Linked DNA regions of Drosophila melanogaster. The protein of the gene in region 2 interacts with the protein of the main gene of each other region in a pairwise test. Each region holds a gene or a part of one and is shown on either strand. Other genes may lie near its edges.

Evidence for each region.
Region 1: the proteins of mrn (region 2) and Tfb5 interact in a two-hybrid assay, tested with the Drosophila melanogaster proteins (one study listed by BioGRID).

Annotation. Positions count from the first base shown.
Region 1 is NT_033779.5:5,007,891-5,015,184, reverse strand, and holds Tfb5 (transcription factor B5), read left to right. Parts: upstream 1-4,350; 5' UTR 4,351-4,418; coding exon 4,419-4,453; intron 4,454-4,511; coding exon 4,512-4,698; 3' UTR 4,699-4,752; coding exon of another isoform or gene 4,753-5,208; 3' UTR 5,209-5,254; downstream 5,255-7,294. Other genes in the region: vkg (viking), read left to right, coding at 1-1,510, 1,574-1,688, 1,750-1,973, 2,041-2,674; SelT (selenoprotein T), read right to left, coding at 3,323-3,773, 3,850-3,995; CG31917 (uncharacterized protein), read left to right, coding at 4,753-5,208; Rtnl1 (Reticulon-like1), read left to right, coding at 5,810-7,004.
Region 2 is NT_037436.4:15,576,224-15,584,664, reverse strand, and holds mrn (marionette), read left to right. Parts: upstream 1-4,127; 5' UTR 4,128-4,158; coding exon 4,159-4,457; intron 4,458-4,512; coding exon 4,513-5,713; 3' UTR 5,714-5,896; downstream 5,897-8,441. Other genes in the region: AIMP2 (aaRS-interacting multifunctional protein 2), read right to left, coding at 1-25, 226-378, 570-668, 784-930; CG12301 (uncharacterized protein), read right to left, coding at 1,401-3,311, 3,371-3,775; Ufsp2 (UFM1 specific peptidase 2), read right to left, coding at 6,119-7,903, 7,963-8,001.

The DNA of each region.
Region 1 (7,294 bases), on a different chromosome or scaffold from region 2:
ATGGCCTGAAGGGCGCCACTGGTTTTCCTGGACCCCAGGGACCCAAAGGTCCTCAGGGCGAGAGCGGAGTTGTGGGCTTGGATGGTCGAAATGGTCAGATTGGTGATCAAGGACCACGCGGATTGATTGGTGAGCAGGGAGAGCAGGGTGAGCAGGGTGACGAAGGTGAAGTCGGTATTCCGGGTCGCTTGGAGAACCTGCGGGATCGGAGCTTCTATCGCGGCTTCACCGGAGATCAAGGTCTACAGGGTGAACGTGGCGAGCAGGGTGATATGGGACCAATTGGATTTATTGGACCTCCCGGCGCCAAGGGCGAACGCGGTGACATTGGCTATGCTGGACAACTTGGATTCGATGGAGCTGAAGGCCTTAAGGGCTTCCAGGGTGACCAAGGACCACGAGGTCCTCCGGGCATAACATTGCCCGCCGAGAAGGGTGACGAAGGCGTTGCTGGACTCGATGGACGAGCAGGACGTCCGGGACACTTTGGCCAGAAGGGAGCACCCGGACCACCGGGAGAGAATGGACCCAACGGTGCGATCGGACACCGTGGACCCCAAATCCAGGGGCCACCTGGACCTCAGGGAGATGTCGGCTTTCCCGGAGCACCGGGACACAATGGTCGTCATGGACTAATCGGACCAAAGGGAGAGCTTGGCGACATGGGTCGCCAGGGTGAGCGCGGTGAATCTGGATATGCCATTGTCGGCAGGCAGGGCGACATCGGAGATATCGGCTTCCAGGGCGAACCTGGCTGGGATGGCGCCAAGGGCGAGCAAGGATATCCCGGACTTCCGGGTAAGAACGGAAGGGTGGGTGCCCCAGGACCACGGGGACCCACTGGCGACGCCGGCTGGGGTGGAATCGATGGCATGGACGGACTCGTTGGCCCCAAGGGTCAACCAGGTGTAACATACTCCTACTCCATGGCCCGACCCGGAGATCGTGGTGAGCCCGGACTTGATGGGTTCCAGGGCGAGGAAGGCGATGGTGGAGCACCAGGACTTATTGGATTCCAAGGACAGAGAGGTGCCGTCGGATATCGCGGTGACCAGGGCGAGGTGGGCTACACCGGAGCCGATGGACCGCAGGGACAACGTGGTGACAAGGGTTATATGGGCTTGACCGGAGCACCCGGCTTGCGTGGTCTGCCCGGACCACAAGGTGAACCAGCGCCAGCACCGCCGGCACCCAAGAGCCGCGGATTCATCTTCGCCCGCCACTCGCAGTCCGTCCACGTACCTCAGTGTCCGGCCAACACGAATCTGCTATGGGAGGGCTACTCACTGTCGGGCAACGTGGCCGCCAGCAGAGCGGTGGGTCAGGATCTCGGTCAGTCCGGCTCCTGTATGATGCGGTTTACAACCATGCCGTACATGCTGTGCGACATCACCAACGTCTGCCACTTTGCCCAGAACAACGATGACAGTCTCTGGCTGTCCACCGCCGAACCCATGCCAATGACCATGACGCCCATCCAGGGCAGGGACCTCATGAAGTACATTTCGCGGTAAGTGCCAATTTCCTCCTCCCCTAGAAATCCCTTAGACTATTGACATGTCTTGTTCCTCAGTTGCGTTGTGTGCGAAACGACGACCAGGATCATCGCCCTCCACTCGCAATCCATGTCCATTCCGGACTGTCCAGGCGGCTGGGAGGAGATGTGGACCGGCTACAGTTACTTCATGGTAGGTTACTATTCTCAGCATAAGGAATTAAAGGTTAACCCACCGTTACCCAACCTTTCAGAGCACCTTGGACAACGTCGGTGGCGTTGGGCAGAACCTCGTCTCCCCGGGCTCTTGCTTGGAGGAGTTCCGCGCCCAGCCGGTGATCGAGTGCCATGGCCATGGACGCTGCAACTACTACGATGCGCTGGCCTCCTTCTGGTTAACCGTCATCGAGGAGCAGGATCAGTTCGTCCAGCCGCGCCAGCAGACGCTAAAGGCGGATTTTACCAGCAAGATAAGCAGGTGGGTTACTTGAGCAAACCCATTAGCTGTATACATATGTATCTACAATGGCGGTATCATCTTTCAGGTGCACGGTTTGCCGTCGTCGAGGCAACAGCTTTGTGGCTCGCACTGCAAAGTCCAGGGCAGATGCGTCTTCCGGTTTCACAGATGGTTCTGCCTCGAGTAATCCTTCGGGCAGTTTGAAAACAGATGGCAATTACAGGGCAAACTGGCAATCCGGCCGGTCTTCCAGTCCTGGCTCTCAGTCCAGTCCTGGTTCCAGCTCCGGATCCTGGTCATCTGGATCCAATGCCGGAGCTTATCCTGGCTCCAATGCCGGAGCTTATTCTGGCTCCAATGCCGGAGCTTATCCTGGCTCCAATGCCGGAGCTTATCCTGGCTCCAACGCCGCCTGGCAATCGAGGACCAATGCTGGATCCAGCTGGCATTCCGGACCCGTAGCAGGATCGGTCTCCAATCCGGGATCGTACTCTAGCTGGTCCACGGGCTCCAGTCCTGGTTCCAATCCCGAATCTAACGCCGGGTCCACGCGCTCCTCTTGGATCACGCGCAGTCGCGGCCCATCAAACTATCTGAACGGAAGGTACCAGCAAAGGGTTCACCCGAGCAACCTGCAGGCCTACGATGAGTATGCTCGCCATGGTGGCAATACCCGCCAGTACAACCGACGCCCACGCGAGGACACCACCGCCCCCTAGATTGCAGTTCGAACTAAGTAGCAGTTAAATATACGTCTTAAGTAATTTGCTATCCTATCCAGGAAACGAGATAACGATCCAAACCCCAACTCGAGTACCAAACAAACAAAACTTTAACCACAGAACAGTGCCATTTTCCGTGGAGATGTAATCTAATTACGTGGACACCAAAAACTAAAACCATATGACACATATGCCACATACCAAATATAATTATGGAATTATGGAAGAGGGGTCGAGAAGAGTAACCACTGCCTCCACTGCAACGAAAGTAAATCTTGTGCCCCTGTTGGGATTATTGTAAACGTAACACAACCAAAAAGAAAGCCCAGTTTTTTGATAAATAAAATGTACAACACATAAAACGAATGCACAAGAAATTTCGTTTGATTGAAATTAAAGCGAACTTTATATCCCATCTAAATCCGATCAAATGCGATTTTGTTCGGTTCGGATTGGATGCGTTTAGGATGTGTAGAGTAGGCTATAGTTGGGGTGAAAACAGAAATACAGCTAAGTGGATAATGTCGGGACAAGAGCTTATGTTTAAGTTAGGTTCAGAGCCGGAAATCGATGTCTGCGGCTGTTTTGGTGTTGTCCAACTGCTGTTTTCCGCGCTCCTCCGTCCGTCCAGTCAGTCCAATGCTATTATTTAACAAAGTCCGGATTCTCCTGCACCTTTTCGGTGAACTGCAGATGGTTGTCGATGATTTGAAAGAGTACCTCCGGCGAGGGAAAGCGTCCCGTCTGCAGTTTCGACCACACAGGCACATCGTTTAGTGTTATCTCGAAAGCGCCGGACGAGATGAGCTGGGCCTCGAGCATGTTGCCCAGGAAGAAGATCATCATGCAGGCGTATATCTTGTTAGCCTGCATGTGGCTCCACCAACTGGGCGTGTTCAGGCCAAGGAAGGTGAACGGACTGACCGCACTGACCACGGACACAATGATTATGATCTTCAGGGCGAATATCATCTTGGAGAGGTAATAGTTTAGACCCGGCGGATCGTAGTTGCCGCCATTCACCTGAATTTGCGGATACTTCTCGCCCAGCAGGCCCACGTAGTCCTCGAACGCCTTGCGATAGCCGCAGGAGTAGCTATTTGGCGAATCAATGGTGAGAAACACAGAGGTCATTGTTATCAATTATGTTAATTGCCCCGCATATAACGCACCAGTAAAGGAAAGTCATCGTCGGCGCTATGTTCTGTCCGAATTTGGTAACCGGTATCTCCTTCTCGCCCTCGGCGAACACCAGGGCGTATCCGGCGCACAGGCACAGCACCAGTAGTGCCACATTCCTTCCGGTCAGCCTTTCCATTGCGTGCTTATGGTCTGATTTAATTAGGAATTTAATTTGGAATTCAATATTTCCTCACACTTTTGCCTTGGTGTTTGTCCGTGTGACTGGCAAATACCCCGCTACTTCTGTCTACTTTTCGTAGTGAGTAGCACTGATAGGGCTGGCAAAATAGCTATATTTCTTAAAGTACGAAACTTCCGACGGTGAAACTAACATAATATAGTTAATATCGGGTGCTGGTTTAAAGCAATGTGTTATATTTCGTTGATTGTAAATATTATATTGCCATGCTGAAATTATTGATTAAATTATCAAGTAAAGTCAAAAAAATATCGATAGTAAAGACTGCCACCTCTAGCCTACGTTTCACTGTGAATATGTCATTCAGCTCTGAGAATTGGTGAGATTGTTTATTAATTTCGGCAAACAAATGCTGGCAACATGGTAAATGTTATGAAAGGAGTGCTGGTGGAGTGGTAAGTGGTATACGTTTGGTATGCGTTGGTTTCGCTATATTCAACCCAATCCCCGCAGTGATCCTGCTATGAAACAATTCCTGCTGCACTTGGACGAAAAACTGGCTCTGGGACGCAAATTCATTATCCAGGATCTGGACGAGAACCATTTGTTTATCTCCACGGACATTGTGGAAGTTTTGCAGGCGCGAGTGGACGACTTGATGGATCGGATAAGCTTTCCGCTGCACGACAAGGACGCTTAGAACCTACACAACCCATAAAATCCAATAGCCAAAAGTAAAAACCTAAAAACAACCATGACGGGTCGCGAATCCAACCGCATCAAGGACGCTGAAAAGAAGCGTGTCCTGGACTCCACAGCCCGCCAGCGGCGTGCCCGCAAAGCCTTGGAGGCTCTGGAGCAGGACAACTACCACGATGACCCACACGCCGACCTTGTCATGTCCAAGAAGTTGCCCAAATTCCAGGACAGCCTGAAGACCGGCAAGGAGAAGAAAGGCAAGCGCAAGGGCGCCGAATACTTTCTCGTCAAGTATCGCAAGAACTTCCAGCAACTGCTCGAGGAGGACAAGGACAAGCAGCCCAACTACGAGAGCGCCGCAGCGCCGGCTCCACAAAAGCCACTGCGGCATTTCTGCGCCGTTTGCGGCAACTTCTCGTTGTACTCGTGCACCGCCTGCGGAACGCGATACTGTTGCGTTAGATGCCTGCAAACGCACCAGGACACGCGCTGCCTCAAGTGGACGGCCTGAGCATGGTTGTTATGTTTACAAATAAATCAAACATTAGGCATAACTGAATTGCGCGAAGTTTCTGGAAATACATACAACAAATTTTAGCTGTCGTGAATTTTAGCCAATTTGCCAGAGCCATTGGGTTAATGTCATGGCTAAAGATGCCGGCAACATCAAAACTTTGGTTCGAAACATGGCTGTTCAAGGTATTTGTCCATTTTTAGGCAATTATGCTGTGAGCGTCATCGATAGTATCGACCGCTGTGCCACCTCTAGCGCAGGTCCATTGAAACTTTTCAAACGTCTGCATCGACGGCGCCTGTAAAAGAGTCGCTGTGGTTCAAATTAAATTCAACGTTCCCGAGCACAAAACACTGCGAATTGCGGCCTTTTAGTCACCAGAAGGCACTTAAGTCGGCTAAAAAAAATCATATTAATTTCAACCGGCAAAATCAGCTGTAGCTCGGTGCCTGTGCGTGTGTGTGTGGGTGTGTCGTGTGCGTGCGTACGTGTGTGTGTGTGCGAAGTTCCAATCAGAAGGCCAGGATATTCAAACACATCTGTGAAAATTTCTTATTGATCACAAGTGTTATATTTTGAAATCAAAACACTGTAGAATATGGATCGGAACTTCGACGAACTGAAAAAGGAGGCCGCTGCCACCAACGAGGACATCTTCAAGCAGGCGCAACGTGCCTACGAAGACTCTGCACTTGGTGGCGATACTGGCAATGTGAGTGGTGGTGCCCAGGACGATAATGCCCACACGGAGCACTACTTCGCCAACGAGCAAAAGAAGTTGGACTTTGGCGATGCGCAGGAGTTTGTCCAACGCCTGGCCGCCGACGCTAAGGATGCCAAACTCGATTTGGACACCAAGTTTGCACAGAAGACTGATGATTTCGAGGACTTTCTGCGCGACGCTGGCAAGGAGGTGAAGCAGGGCATCAGTGGACTGACCACCGACTTTATGAATGCCGAGCGGGGCTTCTCCGCTCCCCTGGCTCCATTCTCAGAGACGGTAGCTCAAGCTCCGGTTATTCCAGCACAAGCTCCAGCTGTTCCCGATCATGCTCCGGCCGTTCCAGCTCCAGTGGCGCCAGCTCCTGCTGTCCCAGCTCCGCTTCCTGTCGAGGAGGACCTCCTGGGCAGCTTCACTGACCAGCCATCGGCACCACTCCAGGCCTTCCAGCCAACGGCACCGTCCACGGCCAATTTCTATGACGACGAGGAGGATGACTTCCTGGGCAAGCCAACCACTGCTGCCCCAGCAGCTCCTGTCGCCCCATTGACCAAGGCCAACCAGGATTCCGACACTGAATCGCCGTCCGTCTCGTACACACCATCGCCGGCCAAGAAACCCATTGTAGATGCCCTCAAGGATCAGGACAACGAGAAGTTCATCTCGTCGGAAGATCTGGCCAGCGATTTTAAGGAGGAGCCACGCTCAGCACCCACACCAGCACCCGCACCAGCTCCCATTCTCGATGCTGCTCCAGCTGTTGCTCCTGCTCCAGTGGCAGTACCAGTATCAGTACCAGTTGCCAAACCCCAGCCGGTTCCAGTGGCTGTACCCGTGACAACCGCTTTGATAACCGACCTGGATGACGAGGAGGTGGTGTTCAAACCCACTGTCCAGGAGGCGCCGAAGGCACCCACCATCGCCGCACCCGTAGTCGAGCCGAAACCAGAGCCACCCAAACCCAAGGTGGAGCCGGCCAAGCCGAAGGTTGTGCCAGTGGCGCCAGTTGAATCGACCCAGCCGCAGCCAAAGATTGCGTCCGTCGAGGAGATCTTCTGCAAATACGGATTGGGTGAGTCTAGCCACTGCAAATAGCAACTAGTCAACACCAGTTATCATTGCGTTTCTAATTAATTTGTTGTGTTCCCGTCGTCATTCGAGTATTATAGTACACCGTCGTAATTTGAATACCATTTTGATGTTTGTTCCCAGTGTCCTTGCGGCGCACCTTGCATCCCACGCCCTTTCCCATCGCCTGCTGCCCCTTCTATTTAATTTTGTTTTGTGCGTTAGTCATTCGCCACTCTCTTATTATTATTATTTTTTTTTTTTTTTTGTATGGTTTTTTTCCTCCAACTCTGC
Region 2 (8,441 bases):
TGATGACGACATCCTGCAGTGGCACCTGGTTTTGATTTATTGGAAATATTATTAAATAAAGGTGATGGAACTCTCTTTTAAGCTAAGACTTTTCAAAGCTATGTTACACATAATTAAATCCTATTGCATAAGCTTCTAAATATTGTTTACTTTGATTATTATTTAATTATTTCTTATTTAACCTTTGAACTCCTAGTCTTGACCTTGACATATTGATAGTCGTACCTCCTTTAATCCACCATTCTGGAAAGCAGTCGTGTGCTGGAAAGTCTTGCCACAAACACCAAGTCCCGCCCGGATTTGTCCCAGCTGCGCCTTCAGCTCCTCCAGCTGCTTGAGAACCTTCTCCTGTCGGGCGGCCACTGATGCCGTATCGTCCTGAAAGTAAAAGCAGGGAAAGAGGATGTGTTAGGGAACGACATATAACGTTAGCCAAGGCCACAAGAACACACAAAACGAAGCATGGATGCATTATAAATATTTCTGGTACTGGCGTATTGTTCTTTTTTTTTTTTTGTTAGTCGGTGGTTTATAAATAGAATTTCGTATTTTAGTTTGGTGGTCTTAACCTTTAGCAGTCGCTGTATTTGTCGGCCTAAAGAGTCCAAATCAAGTGCACATGTGGCTGCGTTTCGTCCCGTTCTGTCGATCCTGTTGGCCTCCAATTTCTGGCAAGGATCACACATGCGGGAATGGAATGGATGTGGCGTTGTAGACATACGTTGCACTTTCACTGTCCTTGCGACCCGACCAACTTCTCACTGGCCCGGCAAATAAACTTACGCATGATGATGTGGACGCGGATGTGGATGCGGATGTGGAGGAGCCGCTGGCCAAGGAATCCGCCGCCAGGCTAACGTTCTTGAGAGGATACATGCAGGTGGGCAGCTTTATGTCGAATTGCGGCAGCAGAGTCTTCAGTTCGTACATTTTCGCGGCGAGAATCGTTGGATAAACACAATAACCTGCGCAAATTATCAATTCCAAAATGTGCTTGCCGTCTGTGAGAAACTTTACAAAATACCAAATAATTTAAGGCAACGCTATCGCTATCGTTCCACTTAACACCATTAATCTGGTCACATTGCGTGCGGTAATGAAAGCTATTGAATTCAAATTTAAAATGTAGTTTTTATACATTTTATACTTCATCCAGAATATTCTGCTTGGTCAACTACTGTTGTGTCGTTATACCTTTAACGAAAATCAAACAAAACATTGTTTAACTCTTTTTAATTCAAGTTTTTTTTATAGAAATGTCTCAGTTATTAACAAAAATAAAAAACAATTTGAGAAAATAATGCAATTTATATAATAATTTCCCTTTCTATAGCTAAGTAAATTAGGAGACTGGCAATCGTTCATATTATTCAGATTTATTTTTAAAAATATTCCTAGTTCTATGCTATCTTGGCCTTGGGTGGCACTTTCGGTATGCGCTTTATCCTCCTGTCCACGATGTGGCGTAGACGCCTGTCCGGCTTGACCAGCTCGCTCTCTGTCATGGGCTCGATTACCTGGCCCTTGCGCGTGATTACTGCCGGACGGGTCAGCATGCGGAACGCCGTCTCCGGCACAAAGTTCCGGCCAACTGGAGCACGGATACTGGCTTCGTAGTCTGCCAGGGATCGGAAAGGAAATGGTATGCTGGAGACCATGTGCTGGCGCGCCTGCTTGCTGGCGGACTCGTTGAGGTAAAGATTATCCTTATTCTCGTCACGACGCTTTTCCGGAGCAGCCAACTTAAGAAGAAGCCGCTTGTTTCGTCGCTCCATTACCTCCTTCGAAATGCCAGCACCCGCCCAGGAACCCCATCCAGGCAGGGCGAGCTGAAGCTCAGTGTTCTTAAGCTCGGAGTCCTTGCTTTTGTCCCGATTAAAATCAGCTACAATGTCATCATCCTCGAAGGCTTGACTGATTGTCAACTGGCGTTCAGCAGCGGCGTCTTCCTCGTCGTATTCAGCTGCTTCATCGTCTATTAGAGCATCGTTAAAGCCTCCCGAGTTGCCCTTCTTTTGGGTAAACACCAAAGTTGTCACCTTGTTGGGATCTATGGTATCCACAGCTGGAATTTCCGTGCTTTCTGTGTTACCTTCAACGTGGGCAGGGATATTATTCTGTGAATTTTTATCCTCCTCGTAGTTAAGGGGCTCGTCAATCTCTATCTGTTGCTTTGTCTTTTTTAAAGCCAGACTTTTTAGGTTTTGCAAGACGTCCTTCTTTTTCGCCTTCTTTCCCTTGACAGGAACTTCTTTAAGTTTGTTTATCCGTTCCCTCAATTTCTCCATTTTCTTATTTAGTTTGGCTCTGATATGATCCTCGTGTTTCTCAAAAATGTCATCAATGGCTTTTGAATTCGGGCTTGCCTTGGCTTCTTTCTGATCAGTTGGGCAAATATCTTCCACCTCCCAGCCATTTTCTATCTTAACTTTCGATTTCTTAAGTTTCTTCTTAGCAGGTTTTACTTCTATTAATGGTTTCCGAATAGTTTCTTTCTCCTCCTGCTCGTCATTATCCTGGACTCCTTCCAAATCCCTACGATGCTCCTCCAGTAACTTTTCGTTTTTATTCCTTTTTGTCCAATATTGCCGCCAATTGGAACCCTCACTTTCACCATTTCCATTTTCCGTTTGCTCTGTAGCTTTTCTTTTTGTCCAAGGATTAAAGGGATCGTAGTCATTATCCTCCTCCTCGGGTAAAACTCTCTTCTTGGTGGTTTCATCTTCGCTGTCTGACACCTGCTTTTTCTGGGTCAGTTCCCTGCTAACAGCCAACTGCTCGGCCAGATCCTTTCGCACATCCTTGTCGTACTTGGCCCGTATCTGCAGATTCTTCGCCCAAGTACCGGTGTTCTTGTGCCGCAGGCTGGCACGCTCCTGCACTCGACTCTTTTCCAGGGCATTAAGCTTTTCCAGCGCCGCCTCTGGATCGGTTTTCTGCAGCAACTCGAACTCCTTCATCTGCTCCAACATTTTTTGTCTCTTCTGCAGCTTGTGGAACTTTTTCGATTTGATTTTGTTTTGCATGCGCGCCTTTGCTGACTTTTGAGACTCGCGCATCTTCAGGTAAGCTAGCTCCTTGCGACGGGCAAATAGTTCGTCCCTGGTAAGCTTCTTTTGTAGTAAAAGCCGCTCTTGCTTGGCCAGCTCCTTTTCATCCGTGGTATCCCCAATTTGCGCTTTGCGCAGTTCCCGTAGTTTACGGTTGTTAGCCTCGAGTTCTTGAGCAAGATTGGACTTGACCCGGGTGTTTAGAGGCCTGGCATTTGCCGCAGTATTTACGTAAACCGTTTCAGATGGTAGGGGGAAGATCTGTAATAAGTTTTGGAGATTATATGTGTATGTCACTGTTAGCATTGGCATTCATTCACCTGCGTCTCCGCAGATCTCTGTTGAGCCACCACAGCATCCCAACGACCGAGTTTCTTGGTAACTCCCTCGTAGCCAATGGTCCGTTTAATTCGATCCGCAGCTGGTTTCTCCAGCGGCTTCTGTAGCACCTTTTTGCTGCCATGGATGTTCTTGAGCTTCTTGCCCGTCTGACTGTGCTTGGTGGAGGTGCGTAGGATGTCTACCAGATCGTTCAGACCCACGGCTCTGGGGGCATGATCCGTTTCCGCTGACGAAACACCTTTTACCAGCTGGAACTCATCCTGGAGCGACTGCCGCTCGTCGCGCGTGGACTTCTGGATGTGCTGCACCTTGCCCAGACTGCCGATGGCCTGCAGCAGCTTCTTGTGTGCCTTTGGTTCGTAGTGCTCCTCGTCGTCACTCATTTTTGTCAGGAAAATATTTAAAATCAAATAACAATACAAAAATACTTCGCGCAGCACGTGTGCAGAATAACAGCTGAAGAGTTATCGATAAGTTTTGCGGCCCATCACAATTTCTACCTGTGCTCGATAGCATGAGTGTGGAAAATGGAGCTGCCTTCTTTTAAAAATTAACTTAAATATAATAACATTTACTACTCAATACATATATCTATGCATCAAAAATCAATTGATTTTTTTTTAACAATAAATGTACTTTTAACTCAGCGAAAACCCCCTTCGTAACGCCCTTGATGATTACTATCGATTGTCCCCCCACGAAAGACCGGCTATCGATGACAACGGGATGAAAATATTTTGTTTACGAATTCGACATTCGAATCGTCATGGCCGACACGAAATCCGGTAGTGGTCGGCATTCGGCTGCCGGGGGAAGTGGAAACGCCGTCCTGTCGCCCTTGGGGCAGGGTCCTGCGAACTTGGAGTGTAAGGACTTTCAGGAGTATCTGCGCACCCGCCAAACGCCAGAGTCGCTGGAGAAGCTGTACAACTATCCGCCCATTTGTTTGGCCGTTTTTCGGGAGCTTCCAGAGATAGCCCGGCAGTTTATCATAAGGATACTGTTCGTGGATCAGCCTGTGCCACAAGCGGTGGTCACATCATGGGGTGCCCAACGTTGTGCCAAGTATGACTGTATCCAATTGGATAAACAATATCATTGCAATGCATTACTTTTGCAGGGAGCAAGCCGAGGCAACCAGCTGCCTGACGGCTTTGAACGTCTGGCGGGTCACAGCCATTCCGGGTGGCCTTTCTGCGTGGGAGCTCTCGCCCACCTTCAAGAAAAGCGTACGCCAGGTGCTGCTGGGCGGCGGAAAACCTTGGCCTATGACCAACACGCTGGATAAGGACTCGAAGCCCAGGGACATTGCTTTTCTGGATACATACGCCATGTCCCGCTGGCGTTGCGTGTTGCACTACATGGTCGGCACCGGAAATCGCAATGGCACCGATGCGGAGGCCATTAGTCCGGACGCCGTTCGGATTCTGCTGCACGCCAATCTCATGAAACGTGATGAACGAGACGGTATCACAATAACCCGGCAGGGCTTTCAGTTCCTGCTGCTGGACACGCGAGCTCAGGTGTGGCATTTTATGCTACAGTACCTGGACACGTGCGAAGAAAGAGGAATCAGCCTGCCGGAATGCTTGTCCATGTTGTTCCAGCTCAGTTTTTCAACGCTGGGCAGGGATTACAGTTCCGAGGGCATGAACAGTCAGATGCTGACATTCCTGCAGCATCTACGGGAGTTTGGACTGGTCTTCCAACGTAAGCGTAAGGAGGGACGCTTCTATCCCACACGTTTGGCTCTGAATGTGACAAGCAAGGAGGCGGCTGCGACTGCATCTGTGGCCATGGATGAGGAGGCCACTCAGGACTGTGGCTACATTGTGGTGGAGACGAACTACCGAGTGTATGCCTACACTGATTCTCCGCTCCAGGTAGCCGTGTTAGGTCTGTTCACGGAGCTTCTCTACCGCTTTCCCAATCTCGTCGTGGGCGTGCTAACCCGCGATTCAGTGCGCCAGGCGTTGCGTGGCGGTATCACGGCAGAGCAGATTGTCTCGTATCTGGAGCAGTATGCGCATCCCAATATGCGCATGGTCGAGTCAGCCATTCACTCTAAATCCTGCCTGCCACCCACAGTCGTTGATCAAATTAAGCTGTGGGAATTAGAGCGAAATCGCTTCACCTACACCGAAGGCGTGCTGTACAATCAGTTCCTCTCGCATACAGATTTCGTAACGCTACGAGACTACGCCCAGTCGATCCACATGCTGGTGTGGCAAAATGAGCGAACTCGCACAATGGTGGTGCAAAAGAATGGCCACGACGATGTCAAGCGTTACTGGAAGAAGTACTCTAAGAGTGGTGTTTAGCCCGGTATTACGACCAATTATTGGGAAGTTATTTTAGAAGTAACATCTGTGCCCATTTTGTTACAAGCTAAAATTTTAAAATATGGTTTAATAAGGGAGTGTGGGATTACACATTTATCATCGACATTCAACATACAAGTGGAATAAAATTAAAATACACAAGTATCATACACATAAAAACAGAAAACCACCAAAGCTTTTCCTAGATTGTCCTTTAGGATGGGTCGACATGTAATATTGCTAAACGTAAAAAACAGTGAAGAGACAACTAACAAATGCATACAAAATAATTTTATTTACCCAATAAAATAGAAAATTTAGAATGTCCTATACGTTATACCTAAAGAAAGCATATCGAAACATCCTCGCCTACCTAAATGCGAGTGGAAAAGAAACTAGCTCAACCTAATACAAAATGGGACGCTGGGGCATGCAGAGATTGTAGTAGCTGCCCTTGGCCCAAAAGTCCATGCCCTTCCAGCCGCACCAACCTTTAATTTGAATGGTGGCCAAATCATCGGCACCTGTATAATGGGGATCCAAGATGAGGAACTTCACCTGACCCGTCTGCACGCAGTAGTCCACCCCGATAATGGTGTGGGCCAGAACACCGCCACCAATCATTACCGGTGTACCTTGCGTTTGGAAATGCATCGCCAGCTCGGAGGCAATAGTCGCCAGCTCAGCTCCAGAGGCTACGTGCAGAATTTTTGAGTCCACGTTAAGGAATCCCTGCAGACACATGCTGATTTCTGTGGAACCAATCCACTGAGAAGAACCCACGAATGCAGCAGGTTTGTCGTTGATCTTGTGAAGGTATTCCTGCACCTCCAGATGCGTCGGAATCGGTGCGTTCGTATAACCCTGCAGCACAAACCAGGAGCAGATCGTCTGCAGCGAGCGATATGCGCATCCCCATCCCTTGTCCTGCACCTGCTGTTGCAGGTAATGATAGTAATGGTAGTTACCATTTACTAAGTACTCTTTGCCGTCGACAACTCCACTGGGACGTAATCCGATGTGGGTATTTAGCAGCGGAGTCCATGGTGCGTCCTCCGTTTCACCTAGGAAAAGCATCTGGTTGGCCCTGCGGAAATAAGGACGACTGATGGGCAAAGCAAACTGTCGATGCAGGCGCTTGCGTCTCATTAGCATGCTTGGTGTATCGTCACTCAGACCTTCCAGATAGGCGCAGCTCACGAAGTGACCAAACTCTTGTGGGTAGAAGTGATAGCTAGCGGGCACCAGCAGCTTTCCACTTCCCGACTCCGTGAGATGCTCAATCAGGCTCAGTTCGAACAATCTGAGACCTCTGCAGATGCTCTCGATGAGTACGTCGTATAGCCGTTGGAGCTTCGTTTTGCGGCAGAGAATGGCCATGGCTTCGATCTCTAATGGTACCTGGACTCGGATCTGTTCCTCATTGGTCACAGCAATGCTGAGTGCCGGATGAGGTGGCTCTCCGGACACGGGATCACGACTGCGCGAGCGCATCACATCGATGGGGATCACCTCGTAGTCGCAGCCAGTCGGAGCCAGTCTCTTGACTGGCGTGTTCTGACCTTTAAGCTTCTTTTTGTCGACACTGGCAGTCTCCTTTTCATGTCCTGGAGTTGGAATGACGTCTATAAGATCCTGAATTTGGGAATCGCCGCTAAACTGTTTGTCCAGTGGCCCGTAGTTATTAATGAAAATCTTTGTCTGCGGAACGTTAAACACTAGATTTCCGTCGGCTACCCTTTTGCGCAGCACATGCATTTCCCGGGCCACGGATTCCGGTGTGGCGGCCGTTTGCAGAAAGAATCCGCACTGCAGCCGGGTGAAGCAGAAGTCGTTGTACAGCTGATGTGCCTCCATAACCTCGTAGGGTACCTCCTCCAGTTTTCCATGGACGAAAAACGAGGCCCGCAAGCCCACCAAGGTGCCCAATTCGCATTGCAGTAGGATGGGATTATCGGTGATATCCACAGATTTGATGACCTCATTAAGGTGCGCCTCTCCATCGGTGCAACCACCAAACTTGACCAGTCCGCATAAATCCAGTTCCGCCGGGAATCTGTGTTGGATCTGCTCGTAGTTCAGTTGTCCCAAACTGGACTCAATGTTGAAGCTCAGTAGGAGTAAGGTACCTTCTCCATAGAAAACTCCAAACAAGCATCCACTGCACTGCTGCTTTGTTCGCTCCAGGCGCTAAAATTGGTGAAACCGCGTAAACGATATATGGTTAAATAAACGATTTATAGTCTCACCTTCAACAGGAATGCGGATATTTTTAGTTTGGGTAGCATATTTCTGATAAATGTATGAAAATAAAATAAAGTAACACGGCCACCCACCCGAGTAAATGTTGCTCAGCTGGCAATTTTTTATCGATAACTGAGTGTCTGTATGGTATTTTCCTATCGACATACATATGTATATTTATTGGAAAGTTTGAAAATGAATTCAAATAAATTGTTTGGATAGAAATGTATGCATTGACATTTTGGTAGGATTTTAGGTTAGAGATTCATTGGTTTAATTATTAAAATGTGAGCCAACGTTTTATATAATAGTCCATTATTTCCAATATATATACATATGTATTTGCTGCGACAGTTTTCCATCTGCACAACTAATTAAAAAGTTCATTCAAGTACACACACATATAACATTTATTTAATATATATTTTATATTGAATTCGGCATAGTGTATAGATTCGCAAAAATGTTATAAACGCAGCCCAAC